2 linked regions of the Anolis sagrei genome follow. The protein of the gene in region 2 interacts with the protein of the main gene of each other region in a biochemical or structural test. Links are inferred from orthologs where the notes say so. Each region holds a gene or a part of one and is shown on either strand. Other genes may lie near its edges.

What was found.
Region 1: the proteins of ARFIP1 (region 2) and ARF3 form a complex in vitro, tested with the Homo sapiens proteins (2 studies listed by BioGRID). The link is inferred for Anolis sagrei from reciprocal best matches to the Homo sapiens genes ARFIP1 and ARF3.

Annotation. Positions count from the first base shown.
Region 1 is NC_090022.1:137,917,195-137,929,341, forward strand, and holds the start of ARF3 (ADP-ribosylation factor 3), read right to left. Parts: upstream 6,223-12,147; 5' UTR 5,992-6,222; intron 5,986-5,991; exon of another isoform or gene 5,894-5,985; intron 1-5,893.
Region 2 is NC_090025.1:51,024,285-51,037,175, reverse strand, and holds the start of ARFIP1 (arfaptin-1), read right to left. Parts: upstream 5,273-12,891; 5' UTR 5,112-5,272; intron 2,618-5,111; 5' UTR 2,459-2,617; intron 1-2,458. Other genes in the region: TIGD4 (tigger transposable element-derived protein 4), read left to right, coding at 9,171-10,517. UniProt on the Homo sapiens protein: Plays a role in controlling biogenesis of secretory granules at the trans-Golgi network. Mechanistically, binds ARF-GTP at the neck of a growing secretory granule precursor and forms a protective scaffold.

The sequences.
Region 1 (12,147 bases), on a different chromosome or scaffold from region 2:
ATTACTTATAAAACTCTCCAAAATCTCCCAATTAATATGGACACCAGGAGTTGTACTCCACGAAAAAGTCAAGTCTTCCAAACATTGGGGACAATGTTCTTCAGTAGCTATTTTGAGTTAAACACTAATGATTCTCCAGTAAAACTATTTGCTCACTTGAGATCTGGAAACTAGAGTACAGAGAGATCATGCACTAAGGTGTTATTCGCAACCTCCGGCTCATCAACATGCATAATGCAAGCGGAGGCCCAGATTCCCCTTCCTCCACACTAGAGTGGCTGGACTATAGAACTGAGCCAGAGGTGGTGTGGAAGTGGTTATTTGGTTTCAATTAAATAAAATAATTCTTGTGAGATACTAGAACGAATCCTCCTTCATTAAAAAATTGACAACATATTGCATGGGCATATAATCTATCGCAAGTGCCTTTTCCTTCATTTTATACTTCATGGCATCAGACCTCAACTAAACCTGCAATGCAATGCAATGCAATGCAATGCAGTTCATTCTGTAATCTGTAAGGCACAAGTGGGTAACTATAGAAAGAGCACAGGTCAAACCCCCCCCCCCCCCATGGGTTGGCCTTTTGCTTTTTAAGTTCACCAGAAATACTATCACATTACTCCAAGTTTCCATCTTGGGCACATTTTTCCTTGATATATTGGAAGGGGGATAGTAAACTATCATACATGTGGCTAGTTCTGAACTATATTAATTTGTTTTCAACTGAACTGTTGTCTGATAAAGTTTTTTAAAAAACATTTAGGGTTGTGCAACTTTTGAAGGTTATAAGGGAGCTTCAGGGACCATAAAAGTGGGCCTTGGGGACTAAATGTGACCTCTCATCCACACTTTCCCCATTCCTGCTGTAAGGACAGAGATCAAAAACAGAGGTACTCATCTCCCAAATGTTTATCCCTCCGCTAAGTCCTCTTGTCAATGCAAAAGTGATCAAGGAGGGCACACTATGGTGGAAATGTTAGTTACCCCACTCTATACAATTACGAACAAAGATCAACAGTGAAGATAACGAAAAATGATCCCCTAACTTTCTGGTAGTTAGTGGAACAGGATGAAATCAAAACATTTAGAAAGTACAGAGGCTTTCTGCTAGCCACAGAGAATAACTGAAGAAACTGACAACTTGTACAATTCAGTATAACTTTTAGTGTCATTAGGTTAAGAATGGGAACTACAATTCCCAGTATGCTACTGCAAGAGAGGGCATGTGTTTCTGAAAGATGGGAAGTAAAATATTTGAATCTAAGATGAAGTAAGCATGTTTCCGCAAGGATGCACCTGACTTGAAGGATGATTTCTTTCTAAATACCTTTGGAATCATGCAACTTGCTTATCCTGTTCTCATTCAGGGTTAACCTGAATTCCAGGGTGCCATGAATAAGAGAAGGCGCCTAGATGAGACCCATGTTTATACAGCAAACAGGATTCAAATCCAGGGAGAGTGCAGGGGCTAGGCTAAGTTTGACATTACACATCATAGCCCAGGCATATAAGGGATCCTTTCTCCTGTGTAACAATATAGAAAGGCAGATTGGGCAAAAGGAGAAACACACACTCACACACACGTGCCAGGCACTGCCCATCACATGAGGCGTGCCAGGCAAGCCCCATATGGCAGCAGTAGTCGTCATTTCCCCATCCCCCAAATGGGTGGCTTCCAGCTGTGGCGGGAGACATCACTACTGTTCCTATAGCTTTAACTTTGAATGTGTTTTAATGATTTTTAACTGGGAATTTCTAAATACTGGTCATATTTAATCATGTTTTAATGTTTGTATATATGTATATTTTTAATTTTTTATGTGGATACTTTTATCTTAAACTGCTTTGAGTTTCCTTCAGGGCAGATAAAACAGGGTATAAATAAATATTATAAAAGTCATGCCCCTCAGCTGGTTATGCTCCTTAGTCTACATGGGAACTGCAGTCCATCCTAGGACAGAACTAAGCACCTTCAGAGGTGGCATAGACACATTACGGAATACCCCCCCCCCCCCGGTGCACCTTTGGGTGTTGCTGGTTAACACTGGAACCCTTTTCTCTCTCTTAAAAATAGGACTCAAAGTGGCGAACAGTGCTAAAAACAATACAGCATGCCACTGTATTATATGCTGCAGTCAATGTAACCAAACACCTTCAAAGGTTGTGTATTGTCACATCCCCAGTCAGGGGCTGCTGTGGTTTTTACTGATTTTTAAATTTTATTTATGTATTTATTTATTGCATTTTACCCTGCTCTATCTCAACCCTGAGGGGGACGCAGAGCGGCTTCCAAATTGGCAATATTCAATGCTACATTCAACATAAAAACATACAAATACAGAATGCAATACACATTAAAATAATCAAAATATTATAAAAACAATGGCATATAAATGCATTACATATATTGTTAAACATTGCACGTAGACCTGAAATTGTAACCCAGAATCCATTCCAAATTGCATTCCATTCCATACATTTCATAGCTGAATGTTGCCCAGTGCTAATCCCCAAACACTTGATCCCATAGCCAGGTTTTAACTTTTTTTCTAATGGACAGGAGGCAAGGTGCTGATCTGATTTCGCTAGGGAGTTCCACAGCTGAGGGGCCACCACTGAGAAGACCCTGTCTTTTGTCTCGGCCAATCATGCCTGAGGGGGGGGGGGATCAAGAGTAGGGCCTCCCCAGAAGATCTTAACATCCGGGCTGGTCCATAGGGGGAGATACCAATGATATTTAATCCTGTTTTAATGTTAGTCTATTTGTAGATTTAAATCATATTGGAATGTTTTTAATGCAAGGTGCTTTGAGTCTCCTTGTGGAGAGAAATGGGTTATAAATAAACATAATCATAAAAGGTTGATGAGTTTTCTGGGCTGTATGGCTATGATCCAGAAGCATTCTCTCATGACGTTTCGCCCACACCTATGGCAGACATCCTCAGAGGTTGTAAGGTCTGTTGGAAACTAGGCAAGTGAGGTTTATTTATCTGTGGAATATCCAGGGTGGGAGAAAGAACTCTTGTCTGTTTGATGCAAGTGTGAATGTTGCAAATGGTCACCTTGATTACAATTTAATGGTCTTGCAGCTTCAAAGCCTGGCTGATTGGTGTTCTGGGGGAATTCTTTGTTGGGAGATGTTAGCTAACCTTGATTGATTCTTCTCTGGAATTCCCGTTTTCTGTCCTGATTTTAGAGTTTTTAAATACTGGTAGCCAGATTTTGTTCATTTTTATGGTTTTGTCCACATGCTTGTGGATTTCAATGGCTTCTCTGCCTAGTCTGACATGGAAGTTGTTAAGAGTGTTCAAGCATTTCTGTGTTTTCAAATAATATGCTGTGCCCAGGTTGGTAAATAAAGGATGCTTGCCATAGATGTGGGTGAAATGTCAGGAGAGACTGTTTCTGGAACATGGCCATACAGCCCAGAAAATGCACAACTGAGTGATTCCAGCCATGAAAGCCTTCAACAACACATTTAGTACTTCCTTTAGTGTCCTATCTTTATGCTTCCCTGTGTAGTCTGACATGGTGATTGTTAAGAGTGCTCAAGCATTTCTGTGTTCTTAAATAATATGCTGTGTCCAGGTTGATTCATCATGTGCATGGCTGACTTCTCAGGTTGAATTAGTCTGCAGTGCCTTTCATGTTCCTTGATTCATGTTTGGGCAATTATGTGTTTGGTGGTCCCTATGTAGACTTGTCCACAGCTGCATGGTATACGGTAGACTCCTGCAGAGGTGAGAGGATTCCTCTTATCCTTTGCTGAACATAGCATTTGTTGGATTTTTCTTAGTGGGTCTGTAAATTGTTTGTACATTGTGTTTCTTCATCAGCTTCCCTATGCGGTCAGTGGTTTCTTTGATGTATAGTAAGAACACTTTTCCTATGTGTAGATTTTTGTCTTTACTCTCATCTTGGTCTTCTGGTGTCTGAGGTGGAGTATCCATTGGCCTGTAGAGCCCAGTTTAGGTGGTTCAGTTCACCTTGGAGGAGGTGGGGTTCGCAGGTTCTTTTTGCACGGCCTGCCAGGGCTTTAACTATGCTTCTTTTTTGACTTGGGTGATAGTTGGAGTTTTTATGTAGGTGTCTATCTGTGTGCGTAGGTTGTCTGTAAACTGTGTGGCCCAATTGTTGATAGGATTTGCAGACAACTAGGACATCTAGATATGGCAGTTTTCCTTCATTTTCTTTTTTTTCCATGGTGAATTGGATGTTTGTGTGGATGCTGTAGAGGTGGTCCAGGAACTTGATGAGTACTTTTCCTCCATGGCTCCAAGTGGTGAATGGTGAAGGTGTCAGCCAGGCTTTGAATCTGCAAGGCCATTCAATGCTAATCAAGGTGGCCAATGGCAACATTCACACTTGCCTCCAACAGACAAGAGTTCTTTCTCCCACCCTGGACATTATTCCAGAGATAAACCTCACTTTCCTAGTTTCCAACAGACCTCACAACCTCTAAGGATGCCTGCCATTGTAGTGAATACTTTTGGAACAAGGCCATACAGCCTGTAAAACTCACAGCAACCTATTATGATTTATTTATTTATTTACGTCATTTTATCCCACCCATTTCAGCCCGAAGGTGACTCAGGGCGGCGTACAAATCAACAACCAATTAGATGCCATATAAAAATACATACATTGGTTAAAAGCAAACAAAACAAAACAAAATCAAAAAACAAATCAAAAACTAAACCACATGAGAATACATTTAAAAACCATAAAAGCAATAAAAACAAAAATTATAAAACTTTGCCTTCCTGTTCAATTCCTCAACTGTTTCCATCGTCTTAGCTGTTCCTTGTTCGTATTCCAATTTGAGTCTGTCTGGTCATGCTGAAGTTCCAAATGTTGTGTATTTATATCCCACTGAAGGTAATTTTGTACAAAGTCAGAAAACAAAGGTGTCACAATTCCAGACACCCATGGGTTTCTGAGTTGCTGTGAGTTTTCGGGCAGTATGGCCATGTTCCTGAAGCATTCCCTCCTGATGTTTCACCCACATTTATGGCAGGCATCCACAGAGGTTGTCCTGTTTTAAGAGGTTTTTTTTTTAAAAAAATACTGGTAGCCTGATTTTGTTCATGTTCATCGTTTCCTCCTTTTTGTTGAAATTGTCCACATGCTTGTGGATTTCATTTTCTCTGTGTAGTCTGACATGGAAGTTGTTAGAGTGGTCCAGCATTTCTGTGTTCTCAAATAATATGCTGTGCCCAGGTTGGGAAATAAAGGATGCCTGCTATGGATGTGGGGGAAACGTCAGGAGAGAATGCTTCTGGAACATGGCCATACAGCCCAGAAAACTCCCCGCAACCCAGTGATTCTTGCCATGAAAGCCTTCGACAACACATCATCATTATCATCACCACCATAGAGAGGGGATGATAAGAGGGGACTGTTCAATGAGGAGGCAAAGAGCTGGTCCCGGCCCTTGTGCGTGGGACGCCCCTCTACCTCCAGGCCAGGCGCCCAAGGCCTGCTAGGCCTGGCTGCCTTCTTCCTCTCCGCCCTCCACACCTTGGCCAGGTACGGTGGCTCGGAGGGAGCTAGGACGGAGAGCTCCCTCGCCTCGCCTCCCCGCCCCCAGCTTTTTCTCTTCCTCCGCACAGAAGGATGACGAGGAGCAGAGCAGCCATGGCTCCCTGCCTGCCTCCTCCCTCACTCACTTGGTCACTGCACAAGCCGCACACAGCAGGTCCTCCCCGCCTCGCCTCCATCCCTGCCGCAACGCCCGCCCTTTGGCCCCCCGCTGGCCTCGGGACCGGCCTCCCCCTCCTCCTCCCTCACCCCTGCCCGCGCGCCCTTCAACCGCCATTTGCCTTTCCCCCCCTCTCTCCCTCTCCCTCACCCCCGCCATTCCCTCCCTCCCTCCCGCCGTGGAATCTACCTCCCTAACGGTTGGTTTCCTTGGTCACTGGCGGCAGCGGCGGCTGTTCCTCCTATTGCCGCCACCCCCGCAGGGCAAGCCGGGCCCGGGCAACCCACCTGCTTCCTGCGCGCGCGCTGCCTCCTCCTCCTCTTCCTCCTCCTCCTGCCGCCCAGCTGACTCTGCACTCTCCCAACAAGAGCAGCAGCAGCAGCAGCGAATCCCCCCTCCCTTTCTCTCTCTCTTGCGCGCGCGCGCTCTCTCTCTCTTTCACGCGCCGGCCCTCCTCCTCCTTCTCCCCGCACCCGGAAGCAAGGAACAGCAGCGGCATCCGTTCTCCAGGCCCGTGAACACGAGACGCTCTCGCGAGACCTCGCCGCCGCCCCCTCGCGAGATTTCCCCCCGGTGTCCTTCGTTTCCATGGTAGCGTCCGCAGCCACTGCTCCTGCTGCAAGGCGCGGGGGAGGAGGGCTTCCAGGGAGGGAGTCCTTGAAAGGCGCCCTGCTGTGGTGGTGGTGGTGGTGTTGTTGTGGGGGGGACGGTGTTCCTGAACAGGAGGGGACGAAGGGGAAGCCAAGCAGGGAGGGGGCCACGACGGCCAAAGAGCACCGAAGGCCAAACGCTCATGGCAATGTAGACGTGCGCGCGAGAGTGGCAACACCGAGGCCGCACTTCACAGAGAAAGCAGTAACCTTCACATTCACAACACGGAGCCCTGTCACGCTGCACTGTCAAATCGCGATGATTCCGCTTCAACGTGCTGTGGGTGTTGCCATGGCAATAGGAGTGCAATCATAGTGCTGTATCTCTCATAGAATCCTAGAGTTGGAAGAGACCTCATGGGCTATCCAGTCCAACCCCCTGCCAAGAAGCAGGAAAATCGCATTCAAAGCACCCCCGATAGATGGCCATCCAGCCTCTGTTTTAAAGCTTCCAAAGAAGGAGCCTCCACCACATTCTGATCAGCTCTCACAATCAGGAAGTTCTTCCTCATGTTCAAATGGAAACTCCTTTCTTGTAGTTTGAGCTCATGAGATTAGACCAGGCATGGGCAAACTTGGGCCCTCCAGCTGTTAGGAATTGTGGGAGTTGGAGTCCAAAACACCTGGAGGGCCCAAGTTTGCCCATGCCTGGATTAGACCCAAAGTCAGCAGAGTTTAACTTCTGGCCCTCCAGATGTTAAGGAATAGCACCCGAGAACAATGCCACAGTATCATAGCACTGTTATTCCACTTTAACTGCCATGGCAACATCTTGTGGAGTTTGTCTTTTAATGAGGACCAAGAGCTCTCTGGCGGAGGACTGTAAAGGGGCCTTTCAAGACAGCAAATCCCACTATCCCCTAGCACAGTGGTTCTCAACCTGCAGGTTCCCAGGTGTTTTGCCCTACAACTCCCAGAAATCCCACTACTTCACCACACTAGAGAATAAATCTGCCTAGTAGTTGCAGTGGAATTATAACATCTACATGCCTGTTTTATATAAAGTTTTTTATTTGCCATCTGTTAGCCTAACCTTATAGGAAAGATGTATATTTCTAAGGAGGAGAGGGGAGTCCCCTGATTCATGGTGCAGCCATTAGAGTCCTACAGAGTGCTTATTGCCTCCAAAGTCTCCTATGTTTTATAGCCTGGATAATCAGGGTGAGAGCCCCCCCCCCCCTCCCCAGGTTGAAAATGCTGCTGTTGAATGCCAGTAAATGGAAAACCAACTGTCACCCAGGACTTGATCCTGGATGAATATGCTGACCTGGTCTATATCACAGAGACCGGGCTGGATGAGACTGGGTTGGACAATTTCTCTCAGCTCTGCCCACCAGGATTCTCTGTGCAACAGCAGGCAAGGTCTGGGAGGTGGAGTTGCAGTGGTCTATTGTGATTCCATCCCCGTGACCAGGTTCTCCATCCCACAGTCACCAGGGTTCAAGTGTTTACCTAAAAGTGGGTAACTGGGACATAATAGGGATTCTCTTGGTGTACTGTGTGGAATAGAAGAATGGGATATTTAAAGACTGGTCTGTAACATTGTTTAGTGCTTAAAAATATTAATAGAAGATAAATGGTAAGACAGATGTTAGATAACAAAAATAATATTTGTGTCCCCCCCCCAATCTTTCTTATGATACATTGTTAGTTAAGAGTCTTGGTACTATAATGTGTGTGTGATATTATCTTGGGGTAGGGTTGAGAAGTTTCCTTCAAAATATGATGCACAGTTTATTATTATTAGAAAGTTTACATTCACCAATGTTAGAAAACTACATTATGTGTAGGGGGCAGTTCCTGAAGGTCTGAAGATCATTGTAATTTAGTGGTATTGGACATTATACAGATGCAAGTTTTGGTAGTTTTACATATCTTTGTGTGTTCTGTTTTGTCTTTTTCTTTACCCACCTTTCCACCAATTTACATTGCAACCAGTGCAATAGCTGATATAGTGGAAGCAACTAAGCTGGCCCACCCCCAACTGGCAGGCAAAGGCTAAGGCGAAGGGTGAATTTGAAGGCCTTCCTGAAGGAGGCCAGACTTGGTGGTGGTGGTGGTGGTGCAGGGGGGAGGTTGACAGGGGTGGAGCTGCAGACTATTTAGTTTATATTTAATATAAATAAAAACCACAAAAATAATATCTATTTTGCTCCTTAATTCAACCTTATGTTTTTGTCTACTATACAATGACCAATCATTTACAGATCTGCCTTGGTTCAGTGAAGTGACAGTCTAGTCTATCTGCCTCTTATTAAACTTGTGCTGTTTGAACTTCTCCACTCATTGACTTTCTTTCTGTGTTTGCAATAACCCCTAAATGCTTTCACAGCCTCTGCTAGCATTCTGCAAACCATACATTTCCACCCCAGTGTCCTATCTCAAATGGAAAATGTATCTGATTTCTCCATCTGCATGTTTTTTGCCCATCTGACATTGGGGCGGGGGAGGAGGAGAACAAAAGTTTAATATTGGAACCTTTAGTGGTAGCCTGACATAAAAGAAAGAGATGAAATAGATATGAAAATGAATTGATGGAGGAAAGGATCCAGCTGCAGGTCTACAATCAGTGTGATTCAGTATGGGGAAGCCTTATTTAATGGGAGGGATTGGGAGAATATAATAGATGTGACAGGAAAAAAAACCATAGACTTCAGATACTGTACAAGGCAAGTGGGCCACCAGATCATATTCTGCTTGCTTTAATATCAAAGCTAAGCTCTTTCCATGCATCCCTCTTACTTATGGAGTGGGCAAAGTAGTCTTTATCAGGAGTCATCCTATTGCAGATACATTTAACAGTGGAATTTGACAACCCAAAATATGTTGAATATTACCACCTACATCTCGCAAATTTTCTGATTGGTGCTGAACTGCCTCTGACTTTTTGATAAGGGCTGCAAAACTGTACCCACGCACCTGGAAATAGGTCCCACTGAATTCATTCGTTCACATTTATTCACAGACTTGGAGAGGATTATACTTTCAATGAAGTATGAGGGAGTAATGAAGGAAAGGAGCAAAGAGCGACATCTTCCTTCTGGTTTTGGCAAACAGATTCATTTGGCAGCACATTGAACAGGAAAGGCATGAAACAGACTGCTAAAGGAATCTCTCCCATTCATCTCATCATAGGATTTCCCAATGCTTTATGTTCTCATCTTAATCTAGACATACATGAGCAACAGAATCCACAAGTTTAGACCATGGTATTGGCCTAAAATGCAAACACTCAACAGCCATTTGCATTGCCTCCACTAGTCAGGCCGATAGTGGTTTGAATTAACCCTGATGGTGATATTCACAGTGGGAGAGTTAGATTCATTTCCTCCCACTCCTGAAGCCATAACTCCTGTTTGCTTCATCTAGAGCAGGGGTCCTCAAACTAAGCCCCGGGGACCAGATATGGCCCTCCAAGGTCATTTACCCAGCCCTTGCTCGGGGTCTACCTAAGTCTGAAATGACTTGAAAGCATATAACAACAACAACAATCCTATCTCATCAGCCAAAAGCAGGCCCACACTTCCCATTGAAATACTAATAAGTTTATATTTGTTTAAACTGTTCTTCATTTTAATTATTGTATTGTTTTAAAGTGTTTTTTTGCACTACAAATAAGATATGTTCAGTGTGCATAGGAATTAATTCATGCTTATTTCAAATTATAATCCGGCCCTCCAATAGTTTGAGGGACTGTGACCTGGCCCTCTGTTTAAAAAGTTTGAGGACCCCTGATCTAGAGAGACAATGGAATACAGAGATGGTTCAAAACAAATCTGTGCAGTGATGTGGAAGTAATTTACTGAAATGTGAATAAAACCTTTAATTTTTCATGTGGCGTTAGGTACAGTACTGCAAGTTTGCCAGTTGAAGAGGCACCTCTGCTTTGAAATACACCAGGCTGTGTTTACACCATGAGGAATATTTTTGTCCCTTTATATGGATTGGGTTTTTTTTACTATGCTTCCTTACAGCTTTCCCTCTTGGTGAACAATCTTCTAAATGAAAATATGTCAGCCAACCTTTTAATTATAAATGAACATACGATCAAAATACAAACAGTGGTCTGCAATCCAGATCTTGTGGCATGTACAGGTGACTTATGTACCAATGGATCTGTGGAAAGCATTGCTAAAAACACATTAGGGATATGCAGGAATAGCAAAGAGATTCAATAGGGCAAATCCTATTTTTAATGAACATTTTAAACTGATTCATTTGATCCCTGGCATCCTGAAAAGGAATAAATGAGTACTGAGCAGCTGTTAATGACTAATAGCATAGACTCCAGCATATCTATTCACAAGCAAGTCCTATTGGAATTTACTTTCAGCTTATTGTATGCAGGATTACAGCTTCATGCCTTGTCTATGCAATCTATGGAATCAATGCATTTTAGTCTTTCATTATTTATTTATTTATCATATCAGAAGTGAACCAAGGGTATAGCTGCAATGTATTTAAAAAAACACAAAGTTTTAAAACTTGGCATTATACTAATTGTCCTTTGATTAGTAGCTCGTCACAGAGTGCCTCTGGTATTGCTATAAGGAGGCCCTCCATTGTGCATGTTACAGGGCACAGATTGCATTGTAATAGGTGGTCCGTGGTTAGCTATCCTCCGCACTTGCATGTCAACTCCACTTTGTGGCCCCATTTCTTCAGGTTGGCTCTGCATCTCATGGTGCCAGAGTGCAGTCTGTTCAGTGCCTTCCAAGTCACCCAGTCTTCTGTGTGTCCAGGGGAGAATCTCTCATTTGGTATCAGCCATGGACTGCGGTTCTGGGTTTTAGCCTGCCACTTTTGGTCTCTCGCTTGCTGAGGTGTTCCTGCGAGTATCTCTGTAGATCTTAGAAATCTGTTTCTTGATTTAAAGCATTAGTGTGCTGGTTGATAGAACAGAGGATGGGCAAGAGATGTCACGGCCTTGGTCTTTTCATTACTAGCTGCTACTTCCTGGCGAATGTCAGGTGGTGCAATACCGACTAAACAGTATAATTTCTCCAGTGGTGTAGGAGATAGACATTTTGTGATAATGTGCCATGTTTCATTAAGAGCCACATCCACTATTTTAGTGTGGTGAGATGTGTTCCATGCTGGGCATGCATACTCAGCAGCAGAGTAGCAAAGCAGAAGGGCAGATGTCTTCACTGTGTCTGGTTGTGATCCCCAGGTTGTGCCAGTCAGCTTTCGTATGATATTGTTTCTAGCACCCACTTTTTGCTTGATATTCAGGCAGTGCTTCTTGTAGATCAGAGAATGGTCCAGGGTAACTCCAGGTTATCTTTCATAATCATAACATGTGACTTCCACCAAAGAATACTGGGAGCTGAAGTTTGGAAAGATCTTAAATATATTTGCAGGGTTCCCTGTTTCTATCCCATTCCTTCCCCACAGACTACTTTCTTCTAGTCTCTAGGGAAGAGGGCATGACTTTAAACCAATTTAAGTTCCTAGAATGGATATGCTGTAATGACTTTATTGTACCATATGCTATTGTAGGCTAGAGTTTTTTTTGACTTGCAAAAAGTGGTCTTGAAGTATAAGTAGGGACAAATAGTTTTGTGTCCTGCAAATAGTCTTTAACTTGGGTGATTTTCAGAAAAATGAAAGTAATTTTCAAAGAGAAGTCATCGCTCACTTGGTGGGCAACATACTATTTTCATTTGTGCTAAAATGATTTTGCAAATTTTTAATACAAAAACCTGCAAAAAAATATTCAGTAAATGCTGATGCTATGACAAAATGAATGTGTGTGCAAACCAGCAGAAACAATAACTCTCCCAGAATGAC
Region 2 (12,891 bases):
GCAACCCAATAACATCAAAAATAAGAACTGGATCCAAAACAGTTTTGCAGAATTCTGTTCACGCTGGAACAAAATAAATACTTCAAATTGCTTTAGAGATTTGGGGAATTAGAGCAATATGACACATTGTTGCAGGGAGGCAGAAAACCTGAAATGTCACTTTCATTATTTTCTTTCTCACTTCCCTCTGTTACATCCCAGTAGCTTCTGTTCACAAAATGGATCACCTTAATCCAACTTCATAATTTATAATTGGTTGATAAAATGGCAAATTGTAGTCAGCTAAAAATAAAATCATAAGTTTCATATTACGGTGGGTCCTCAAGGTTTGCTTTTTGGCTTTTCTTTTTTTTTTTTGGCGGGGGGGGGGGTATATTTGAGACATTAACAGTGGAATCTAGATGTGGAATCTGTAAATAGAGAGTTGTCTGTACAGTGTGTGGATAAGGAAGAAAGCATATATGCAGAAGGATCCTCAGAGTTTTTTTCATGCACAAACATTTCTAGTAGTTCTACATTAAACCTACACTCAAGCAATGATTGTCTTGGAAATATTTAAGTAGAACATCCTCAAGATCGGTGATTCTTAACCTGTGGGTCCCCAGATGTCCTGGCCTTCAGCTCCCAGAAATCCTAACAGCTGGTAAAATGGCTGGCATTTCTGGGAGTTGTAGGCCAAAACACCTGAGGACTCACAGGTTGAGAACCACTGCTCAAGATGGAAAGCCTTTTGAGCAAGAAAAAAAAGGGAATAACATGAATATATTCAAATCTTTTAAATGCTTCGGCTGAAATACTCCTCACTCACATCACTTCTACCAATCTAGAACATATGCCTTATAGCTGATATGCAACACGGCAGGGATGGGGAACAAGCAATTGGCGAGAAATAGGCGATTGTTGTTCCCAGCTATCCTAGTCTGAGTAGCCAATGGTAAGAAATGTCAATAAGTGCAATTCAACAATGTGGAGCAATGCATAACACCCATTCCAGTAAGAAAGGAACTGCTATAAATTTTCAGATGTAAAACATTTGCTCCAACATAACCAAGTAAATGTAAGATTGACATGTAAATCCATTATAGAATAATAAGCAGACTGCTGCACAAGGATCCCTTTAGACTGCTATGTGGGTTAATTATTAACTGGTAGGCATGAGCCCCTCCCATACCTTAACCCATTTCATAACACTTTTGTAGGATAAATGATTTGACAATCACATATGTCAACATGAAGATCTGGAAAAAGTTGGAATATACATGGGTTGCAATAAGAGCATTATACAAACTCCAATAATATGTTTTTTAAAAAGACCTCACAGAATTGCTTCATTCCTACGAATCTAGCAGAATGCATGCTGTGAGTGTATATGTGCAGCACTCTAAGTCTCCTTCGGGGTGAGAAGGGCAGGATATAAATGTGGCAAATAAATAAATAATACATTGCATAGTAAAATCCCTACTACTCTCTAGCATCAAAAGTCTAGTTATAGGAAAGCAGAAAATAAGATAAATCAAGTCCCATACAGACATAGCCCATTGGGCATTTAAGTTGGTGAAAGGTAGTGATCTGAAAAGTGTGACAAATAACCAAAGCATATTCTGCATCAACATGATTGCCACTCTTATGAGTTCAGTAATGATTTTTCTCACAACACATAGTGCAATCAAATATACAACCAGTCCATGTAATCAACTCTGGTTACCTATTTCACCTACTGAGTGAAGAGAGTGCATACCATCCTACAGAAATTTACAAACTTTTTCATCTTTTTTCATGAAATAAATACAGCTATTTGAGGTTGAAATCCCAAACACCACTGTCTACAAGCTGCATCTAGCAACGAGGTAGAGGGCCTAAATATGTACATCAGAAACATTACAGATCTTTACAATACTCCAAAATTGTCCACATAGGTGTCCAAGAGTGTCCCTTCTACTTTAAGATGGTTTGATATATATTTTTAAAATTTCATACACAGAATTATTAAAAACCATATCTATAAAATGACCTATATGTGGAACAAAATGAGTTTGTGTTAAGACTTGGATCCCATTTCCAAAGACATCCCCTTGTGCACATATATGCAAATGAAAGCATTCCAAAATACAAAAAAAAAACCCCTCTTCAATACACTTCTGCTCCCAAACATTTTAGGTAAGAGATGTTCAACCTGTATCTATGACACACAGATAAAGACAGATTGTCATGCAGCCTGAAAAGCTGAAAGCTAAGGAGAAGAGCACCTCTCTGGGAAATGATAACTGAATACATCTTAAACTTTTCCATCTTCTGACTGAATTATCTCAGCATCAAGCAAACTAAAGAAACAAAGCAGGTCAAAGGAAAAAGGAGGAAAATAATAGAAGGCACTTTAATAAGAACAGCTATATTCTTTGGCTGGGCAAAGCACTTCCTGCTCTTCCCCCTCAAAGACACACAACCACCATTGCCCTACCTGCCTCTTGAAAGATTATGAAGTAGGTGTGTCCCAGAATTAACTTTTTTTCTCCTTCCTGGCAAGTTTCCCTGCAGTTTGTTCTTTCTTCAAAGCCATTTATTGAATAGAAAACACTGTGACACTCTGCCTTTATATAAAGTGCTACATGCAAGGAAACTGGTGGAAACAGATAAGAACAGATAAGCTGATTAATGATCAAACATTTTCAGAATATAGATCCCTCAGCCATGGAATCAAATGTAGCAAATTCCTTAATCTACAAAATTTAAAACCTGCATTGCCTGTCATCAGTATGGTTATGGATAAATTAATTGAACTTCACATTAGAACACATACTCATTTGTTAGAGGAGCTTTAACTCAAGAGCACACTTTCACTAACAGCTGCCTGACAGGCACTTCCTCCCCTCATACTAGGAAAAAGCAGCACTTGTTCAACCTGCCAAGCAAAATTTCGGTCCCATCCACATTGACCATATAATGCAGTATCACTGTGCAGATCATCATACAGGAAATCCCAGAACCAGTTTGACACCCAGATTGTGATTTTACAAACCACAGAGCACTGATGTGTATTAAGGGCTTTCTTTTTGCTTGCTCTTGTGGAACTTTGGCATCTGGCTGAAGCAGTCTGAGGTTTCTTCTACACTGTCATATATCTGCTTTGAACTGGATTATATAGCAGTATAGACACAGGCCCCTTCCACACAGCTGAATAAAACCCCACATTTTCTGCTTTGAACTAGAATACATGTAGTGGGGACTCAGGGCTCTTCCACATAGCCATATAACCTAGAATATCAAGGCAGAAAACCAGATTATCTGAGTCCACACTGCCATATATTCCAGTTCAAAACTGAAAATGTGGGATTTTATTCAGCTGTGTGGAAGGGGCCTCGCATAACTCAGGGCCCTTCCACACAGCCATATAATCCATAATATCAAAGCAGAAAACCCCACAATATCTGATTTGAACTGGGATATCCAAGTCCACACTGCCATATATTCCAGTTCAAAGCAGATATTGTGGGGTTTTCTGCCTTGATGTTCTGGAATATATGGCTGTGTGGAAGAGATCTCAGACAATCTAGTTCAAATGTGGATTATCTGCTTTGATAATCTGGATTACATGGCAGTGTAGAAGGGGTCTGAGGATAACTTCAAACTGCAGATGATGGAGACACAGATATGTAAAGCTGTGCTTCTCATGTCATCTGAGGGGCCATCCAGACAGGGCCTATATCCCAGGATCTGATTTCTGCTTTGAACTGGATTATAGGAGTCCGCACTGAGATCAGATCCTGGGATATAGGGCCTGTCTGGAAAGGTCCTAAATGATTACTTTTTTTACTCCACTGGGACAGGAACAAGCACCATATTTATGTCCTTTGGTTACAAAATTGGGGACAAGTAGCACTGTTAAACCCTGTTTAAGGAGCTCCATTGGCTGCCGTTTACCTACCGAACTCAATTCAAGGTGCAGGTGCTTACCTACAAAGCCCTTAATTGTTTGGGACCTGCCTACCTGCAGGTAGACTGCATCTCTGTCTATGAACGCATGCGCTCCCTTCATTCATCCGGGGAGGCCCTGCTCATGATCCCGCCGGCGTCACAAGCGCGGTTGGTGGGGACAAGGGATAGGGCCTTTTCTGTGGTTGCCCCCCGACTTTGGAACACCCTCCCCAAAGACATCAGATTAGCACCCACGTTGGCAGGCTTTAGGAAGAGCTTGAAGAGCTGGCTGTTCCGATGTGCCTTCCAGGAATAGGAAACTTCAGCACTATGTCTCAGAAGCACTTTATTAGAGTTTTAAGATCCTCTGCACATTGCACATGCCCTGAAATCCAATATGCTGCCTATCACACCCAGCACTTTTAATCTGTACCCACTACTTGGCCCGGCCTTGGTTTTACTGTGTTTGTGATGTAATGTTTTGTTGATATTGCTTTATGTTTTTGATTTGCTTTGAGCTGTATTGTTTTATGTTGTTGTTTTGTTGAGGCCTCGGCCTTTGTAAGCCACATCGAGTCCTTTGGGAGATGCTAGCGGGGTACAAATAAAGTTTAATAATAATAATAATAATAACTGTGGTGCTCTGACAAAGGGTGCATCCAGACCAAGCAAGGGAAAAACCAGTGGGCTGTTAGGAATTGTGGGAATTGAAGTCCAAAACACCTGGAGGGCCGAAGTTTGCCACTGACTGGTCTCCACTGTAGAATGACTGCAGTTTGACACCACTTTAACTTCCATGGGAGCTGTGGCTTTACATGGCCTGTAGCCTTCTCTGCCAAAGGGTGCTGGTTACCACACCGAACCACAACTCCCATAGTTCCATAGCAGCCCAAGGGGCATCAAAATTGCATTGATTCCTACAGTGTAGACGCACCCAAAGGGAAGTGTAGGGAATGGAGGGCGCCCCTCCCTGCTCCTACGTGGCCAAGGCCGCTTGTCCATCTTGAGAAGAGCAGCTGAAGACAAGCCAGGACAGCAGCCGGCCTCCCCTCTCCACCCCTTGGAGGCGGGGAGGAGGAGAATGACGGGGGAGGCTGAGGAGGACATGCAAGGCCTCAACCAGGCCCCACCGGAGGGACTCTTTAACTCAGGAAGCGGCTATTCCCCGCTCCGCCACGCCCTCCATCTTCCCTCTTTACCTTCAGCCCGCCGCCTCCTTCTCCTCCTGCTGCTGCTTCACCACAAGAAGGACGTCAGAGAAGTCCAGGTCGCTCCGGCCCCGTTTCCGCCTTCTTTCCACTCCCCCCTCCACTTCCCCTCACAAACTCCAGCGCCAACCGGAACTGCCTGGCCGGAAATAGAGCGGCGGGTTGTCACTCTACTGCCTCGCCGCTCGCATAAAGGGGCCACGGTGTTCTTTGGAACGTGGCGCGTCGCCATAGAAACAGCATCCGGGTCTCTCACTCTTCCCTCCCATAGTCAACATTTCCATGGCAATTAAAGGGAAATCAACAGTAGCATCATAACAGGGTTGGGAGAGAAAAGGCTTGCAATCCCTTCCGCAAAACTATATAAAATCCCACATTATCTGCTTTGAACTGGAATATATGGCAGTGTGGAATCAAGATAACCCAGTTCAAAGCACTTATTGTGGGATTTTCTGCCTTGATATTCAGGGTTATATGGCTGTGTGGAGTATATATAAATAATAATAAAACTTTATTTATACCCCGCCTCTATCTCCCCAAGGGACTCCGAGTGGCTTACATGAGGCCAAGCCCAACAACACATCAGTAACAAAAAGCAATAACAAAAAATAACAACACAATTAAATAAATCAAATTTGGCGGGGACGAGAGACAGGGCCTTCTCAGTGGTGGCCCCTCGGCTATAGAATGCCCTCCCTAGGGAGATCAGATCTGCTCCCTCCCTCTTGACGTTTCGGAGGCAAGTTAAAACGTGGCTATTCGAGCAAGCGTTTACAAATACAGAGTAGCTAATACGGGAAATCGAATGACCTGACAATGGAATTGGACAATGCCTGAGAATAATGAGACGCTGATGATATCGTTTTTATTGTTTTTATGATGTCATATACTGCTCAATGTTTTTTGTCTATCATCTTTTATGTATACCGATTTGTTGGAAAACGCCTTGAGTCGCCAATTGGCTGAGAAAGGCGGTATACAAATACAGTAAATAAATAAATAAAAAATAAATAATATAAACATTACTATACAAAGATTTAAAACCTATGGGCGGGCCAGATGTAATCGTTTAAAAATTAATAATTATGCTGATCATGAACAGGTAGGATATATCTAATAGGAGGGTTTTAAAAAACAGATAGTTAAAGCGCTTTTGAGGACATTTTGCTGGGAACTGTTTCCTTATTCTGGGAAGGCACACTGGAGCAGCCGTATTTTCAGGCTCCTCTTAAAGACTGCCAATGTTGGGGCGTGCCTGATGTCCCTTAGAAGTGAGTTCCAGAGTCGGGGGGCCACCACCGAGAAAGCCCTCTCCCTCATCCCCACCAATCGCACCTGCAAGGGCGACGGGAGCGAGAGCAGGTCCTCTCCAGATGAACGAAGAGACTGTGTGGGTTTATACATGGAAATGCGGTCACGCAGGTAGGCGGGTCCTAAGCATAATAAATTGTGGCAAGTTCTTGGTGGGATGGGCATACCAAGTCACCTTGTCTGTCTCTTGAGGAATCTGTCTGACGACCAAGTAGCAATAGTAAGAACTGACCATGGAACAACAGACTGGTTCAAGACTGGGAAAGGCGTACGGCAGGGTTGTATACTCTCACCCAACCTATTCAACTTGTATGCAGAACACATCATGCGATGTGCAGGACTTGATGAATGCAAGGCTGGGGTTAAAATTGCTGGAAGAAACATTAACAACCATAGATATGCAGATGATACCACTTTGATGGCCGAAAGCGAGGAGGATCTGAGGAGCCTTCTAACCAAAGTGAAAGAAGAAAGTGCAAAATCTGGGTTGCAGTTAAACATAAAAAAACAAGATTCTTGCAACTGGACTGATTAATACCTGGCAAATACAGGGAGAAATTGTGGAGGCAGCGACAGACTTTGTATTTCTAGGTGCAAAGATTACTGCAGACGCAAACTGAAGACAGGAAATCAGAAGACGTTTATTTCTTGGGAGGAGAGCAATGGTCAATCTTGATAAAATAGTGAAGAGTAGAGACATCACACTGGCAATGAAGATAGTTAAAGCGATGGTATTCTCCTTAGTAACCTATGGATGTGAGAGCTGGACCATAAGGAAGGCTGAGCGAAGGAAAATATATGCTTTTGAATTCTGGTGTTGGAGGAAAATTCTGAGAGTGCCTTGGACCGCAAGAAGATCCAACCAGTCCATACTTCAGAAAATAAAGCACTTCTGCTCACTGGAGGGAAGGATATGAGAGGCAAAGATGAAGTACTTTGGCTATATCATGAGAAGACAGGAAAGCTTGGAGATGACAATGATGCTGGGGAAAATTGAAGGAAAAAGGAAGAGGGGGCGACCAAGGGCAAGATGGATGGATGGATGGTATCCTTGAAGTGACTGGCTTGACTCTGAAGTAGCTGGGGGTGGTGACAGCAGACAGGGAGCTCTGGCATGGGCTGATCCATGAGGTCATGAAGAGTTGGAACATGGCTGTGTGGAAGGGCCCTAAAAGTGTACCTCATAAAACCTTCAGAATAAAGAGATTTTCCTTTTTCGCTTTTTGATTTTGCTTTATGACTCCCTGCTAATACAACTAGGCTGTGTATGCTTCCCCTTTTCCAAGATTAAGGAAAAAGCCAGATTTGTTTCCAACTGCAAGAGTAATGACGTTTGATATCCCTCTGCTATGACTCAATGCTATCATGGGAATTGGAGTTATGTGAGGAATCAGCACTATTTTAGCAGAGAAGGCTAAAGGCCTTGTAAAGCTGCAACTCTCATGTTTCTGTAGCATTGCATTGTGGAAGTTAAAAGTGGTGGTAAACTACATGAAGTACATACCTAAAGGCTTTGAAACTCACGTGGTTAGTGGCAGGGGCCATTTTCTCTACACATGACTGGCTTTGGTGGGAGAAAGATCCTATTGTAGTGTATTGGTGACTTCCCATGCACAATTCTAGGAGAGATATTGTCCTCAGTCAACAATGGCAGGGGCAGCACCAATTAATCATCTGCTAGTCAACCTTTTCATCTACTTTTAAAATGTCAAAGTTTCCCTCTGCACCTCACAGGCCCCTTCTACGCTGTCATAGAATCCAGATTATCAAAGCAGGTAATCTGCACTATCTGCTTTGAACTGTGTTGTATGAGTTTATACTCATATAATCCGGTTCAAAGTAGATCATCTGGATTTTTTATGGCAATATAGAAGGGGCCTCACTTTCTATCTTCGTTCTTAGTTTATTTCAGTACTTACTACAAACTGAGTCAAAATGCAGAAATGGTTTGCACACAATTCATTTGTGGGAGAAGTGATGGAAAGGTGAAAATCTTGCCATTTGATTCGTGCAAAAGTAAACTGATACAGCGTCCTGTTACCTTGTGTGCTCTTTCTCATTAAATCCTTTTACACTCTTGACAACTCTAATTTTGCTTGGCTGCATGTGTCCTGGTTTTCATCTGTGAAATGTGTATGCAATTATAACTCAAGGGCAAGATTGAACTGTTAGAGGGAGGAACAGACATGGGGTGGCATGCCAGAGGCCCATTTTAAAACAGATCTAGGGTAGCAAATAGCAGCATCAGTCAACGGACTTCTGAAAACTCTCTGCCACAAATTGTAGCTCCTTCTTTGGAGGCTTTTAAACAGAAGCTGGATCATCATCTGTCAGAAGTGCTTTGATTGTGCTCTTTCTGCAAGGCAGGGGATTGGACTAGATGGCCCATGTGGTGTCTTCTAACTCTGTGATTCTGTGTAAATAAAAAAAGCCAAACCAAAAATTGTTTTTCAAATAATAAAGAGGGCACAGAAAGGCTACTAAATTACTGTAAAAGAAATAAAAGTATACCACATGCTTGAGATTACCTTGAATAAGTTCATAGAACTGTTTTTTATTAGGTAACAACATTAGAAGATCATGTTTCTGCATATTTATGATATGCAAAAATATATTTGTGGCACTGCCAGTCTAATCATGTGATGTTACTTTATTTTAGCATGACTTCAGCATGTGACTTGTAAACCAATCTAATTAAAGCCCTTGATGGTAGCAAAGTAACCGAGCAAATGTATCTATATGCAACTGAGCTTCCCCAAGATCTCTAACATTACGATGGCGGAGTTTTCAGATGTTCCTACAACGTCGCCTGCGGCAAGAAAAAAGACAAGTTTGACAATCCAGGACAAAATTGCCATAATAGCTGCCATAGAAAATGGAAAGAAAAAGACAGAGATTGCAGGAAAATATGGCATAAAGCGAAACTCCTTGTATTCCATTTTGAAGAACAAAGATAACATTCTAGAAGCCTTTGAGTCTTTGCCATTTGATCCAAAACGAAAGAGGTTGCGTATGGCATGCTACACTGATCTGGAAGAGGCTCTGGTGAAGTGGTACCAAATGGCACAGTGTTCAAATGTACGAGTAGATGGGCCATTGCTACGCATCAAAGCCAACCATTTTGCACAGAAACTTGGATATAGTGATTTCAAATGCAGTAACGGCTGGCTAGATCGCTTTAAATCAAGGTATGGATTAGCATTCAGATCTCAGTCAGGAATTGCTACCGCTATGACTCTGACCGATGCTTCTGCAGCGGATGCTGTAACTGTTTGGCATCAAAGTATCCTGCCTTACTATGTAAAGGTTTATCGACCGAATGATATATTTAATCTGAAAGAGACAAGGTTGTTTTATCAGATGTTACCCAGTCATACATTTGCATTTAAAGGAAAAATGTGCTCAGTGGGGAAAGTGAGCAAGGAAGAATTAACTCTCATGGTTGGTACCAACATGGATGCCTCAGAGAAACTTCCTTTGCTTGTCATTGGAAAAAATAAAACTCCCCGCTGTTTTCAGAGCAGAAAGTCACCTCTTGTTCAATACCATCCCAGTACTATGCCATGGAAGACTTCAGATGTGTTTGAACAATGGCTGAACAAGCTCGATAAGAAGTTTAAAATACAGAAGCGTCACGTTGTTATTTTTGTGGACCCTTTCCCAGATTTTCCAGAGGTAAAGGATTTAAAATGTATCAAGCTTGTATTCTTTCCTTCTTGCTCCGCTTCTCGATTTACAGCGATGAAGCAAGGGATTATCAAGAGTCTGAAAGTCAAATATCGGACCCTTCTTCTCAAGAGGTTTATAGACTGTATAAACACCGGAAAGGAGTTTGCACTGACTCTGCTTGATGCCCTTGGTATGTTGCAGCTCTGTTGGAGGGCTGTATCCTCGGGGACAATTGTTAACAGCTACATTGCAGCAGGGTTTAGATCAGGCTCTGGGGGGAAAGCTTCTGTAGATGCAGAAGCTGAAAATAACTTCAATTTGACTGCATATGCACTGGCTGCAGCAGTACAATTTCCAAATGTCTTATCTTTGGAAGAATATGCTGCTTTGGATGAGGACTTGGTAACCCCCAAATGACTGATAACAATTAAATATAATATATCCAAAATATATATTTCGAGTCAAATTTGTGGAGGAAATTAAGGTAGAGGTTTTTCTGAACTTCAAAATTTTTTGCCATTACAGAATCAGGCCCAGACTGCTTTCGGCTGGATCTACACTGCCGTACAATGCAACCTGAACTGCATTATATGGTCAGTGTAGAGTAGACTCATATAATGCAGTTTGAACTGCAGTGTATGGGTCTATATCAGGGGATCCTCAAATGTTTTCAGCAGAGGGCCAGTTCATAGTCCCTCAGACTGTTGGACTATATTTTGGGGGGAAATGTATGAATTCCTATGCACACTGCACATATCTTATTTGTAGCACACACAAAATGAAAGAACAATAAAATATGAAGAACAGTTTTAACCAACATAAACTTGCCAGTATTTTAATTAGAAGTGTGGGTCTGCTTTTGACTGATGAGATAGTCAAGTTAATTAGGATTGTTGTTGTGTGGCTTCAAGTCGTTTAAAACTTAGGGCAACCCTGTGTCTAAAGTTTAGCGCAGGGGTCAGGTAAATGACCTTGGAGGGCGACATCTGGCCTGAGGGCCTTAGTTTGAGAACCCCCAGTCTTCCCTTTGACAATATAATACAGTTCATACTACATTATATTGAGGGAGACATAGTTTAAAATGGAATTTTCAGGGATTTCCCAATGCCCATATGTCCTTATGGTTTGAGAAAAATTGCTGCAGAGAGTGAGGCCGAGCGTGGCAGGGGGTCCTGCCTTCTGTTGGTCTGCACTGCAGCGGAGAGTTCCGCAGTTCCTGGTTGAAAGAAAAACGGGTGAAATGTGGTCCTGCAGGCAGCTCAATAATAAGACTGCACTCAGCCTCCCTTTGCTTTCCCTTCTGCCTACATTGTAACGTTCCCCTAATAAGGCACTTGACACTTGCAACTTTTTGTCTTTCTGCATGCTACTTTTGTATCCTTCCCTGCTGCTATAAATTCTAAGACTGTCACCTCCTTTTCTTCGTTTTGGGCTCCTTCACCCCGGGAAAAATTAGTTTGTTCCAAGTATTTTATCTTGCAGAGAAACAGCTGATTGTCGGTCTGGCTGGGCCTTCCGCTTCTCCACGGCGGTGCTCGCTCCCCCTCGATCCCAGGCCCCGGCTGGGAGAGGTAGTTTTCAAAGGACATTGCCCCACGTCTCACTGCCAGGGAACCTTTTCTTCGGACCTTTTTTGCCCTCACTGATTGACTTCCTGCCTTCCTGCCTTGGACTGTTTTCCTGCCACATTTCTGGACCCAAACCCCGGACTGGGCTTGTCTGGAAGAGCAAGCAGCCCCCGCCTGTGTGTGTGCCCTTGCCAAGAAGATCATACCTCAAGAACTCTGATGGATTGCTTTTATCAATTGTTGTTGCTTCTAATAAACTTTGCTGGGATGGGGATGGGATGGGGACCCCTTTATGAAATCTATGAGCTTATGAAAGTTTATGAAGAATGTATGTGAAAAGTTTATGATATGAAATGAGATGTACCCTCACCCTCTTTCCCTACTCTTTCCCTTTGAACTTTACCCTACAAAAGTATGTGACCTGGGGCTACAGTAAGGAATCCAATTTCCTTAGAAGAAACTCCATTCATATTGACATTGCATGGATCAGGGCTGACAATATCTTAAGGCTTTGTTTTCAGAGTCAGACAAACAGGGCCAAAGATTTGTCAGCCGAAACCCGGAAAACGGACTGATTAAATCAATCATGGTATTTGTGTACGCTCCTTTGTGACTAAGGACCCCCTTTGTCCACAAGGTTGAGATCCAAATGCCGCCCATAGCCCTTCCTTTATGCCTATACACATCTGCTATCAGAACTCAGGAAATCCCTTGTTTCCCCCGTCCGCCTCCCTGCCGTGTAAGAACAAAAGATTATCAATCAGCTGGCGGACGCCTCCCAGGCATTCCGCCCCTCTGCGCTGTCAAACTACATCCCGCCTCCTGGCCGCTGATTGGACGATCTTCAGAGGCGCTCCGAGGGCTCTGATTGGCCCCCTGGAGGCGACAGCGGCCGGCGATTGGAGGGAAGGCGGGACCAGCAGCCAAGCCTCCTCCCAGCTGTTCCGGAGCCGGCCAATCAGGACAGAGGAAACTGACGGAAGGCGGGCGGGAGATTCAAACGGGGTTTTCTTTGTTTTGCCTGTATAAATATGCCTGAAAACCACTGTACTGCATGCTTATGGTGGAAATATCCCTGTAACGCATCCTTTTCAGCTGAATCGCAGAAATAAACGCTTCGGTCACTGGATACCTCTTCAGCCTCTGGTGGGATTAATTCTTAATATTTTGCGCTTTGGATTGGCGTTCGCTGGCTGCTCACCAAGGTTAAGGACCCCCTTGGC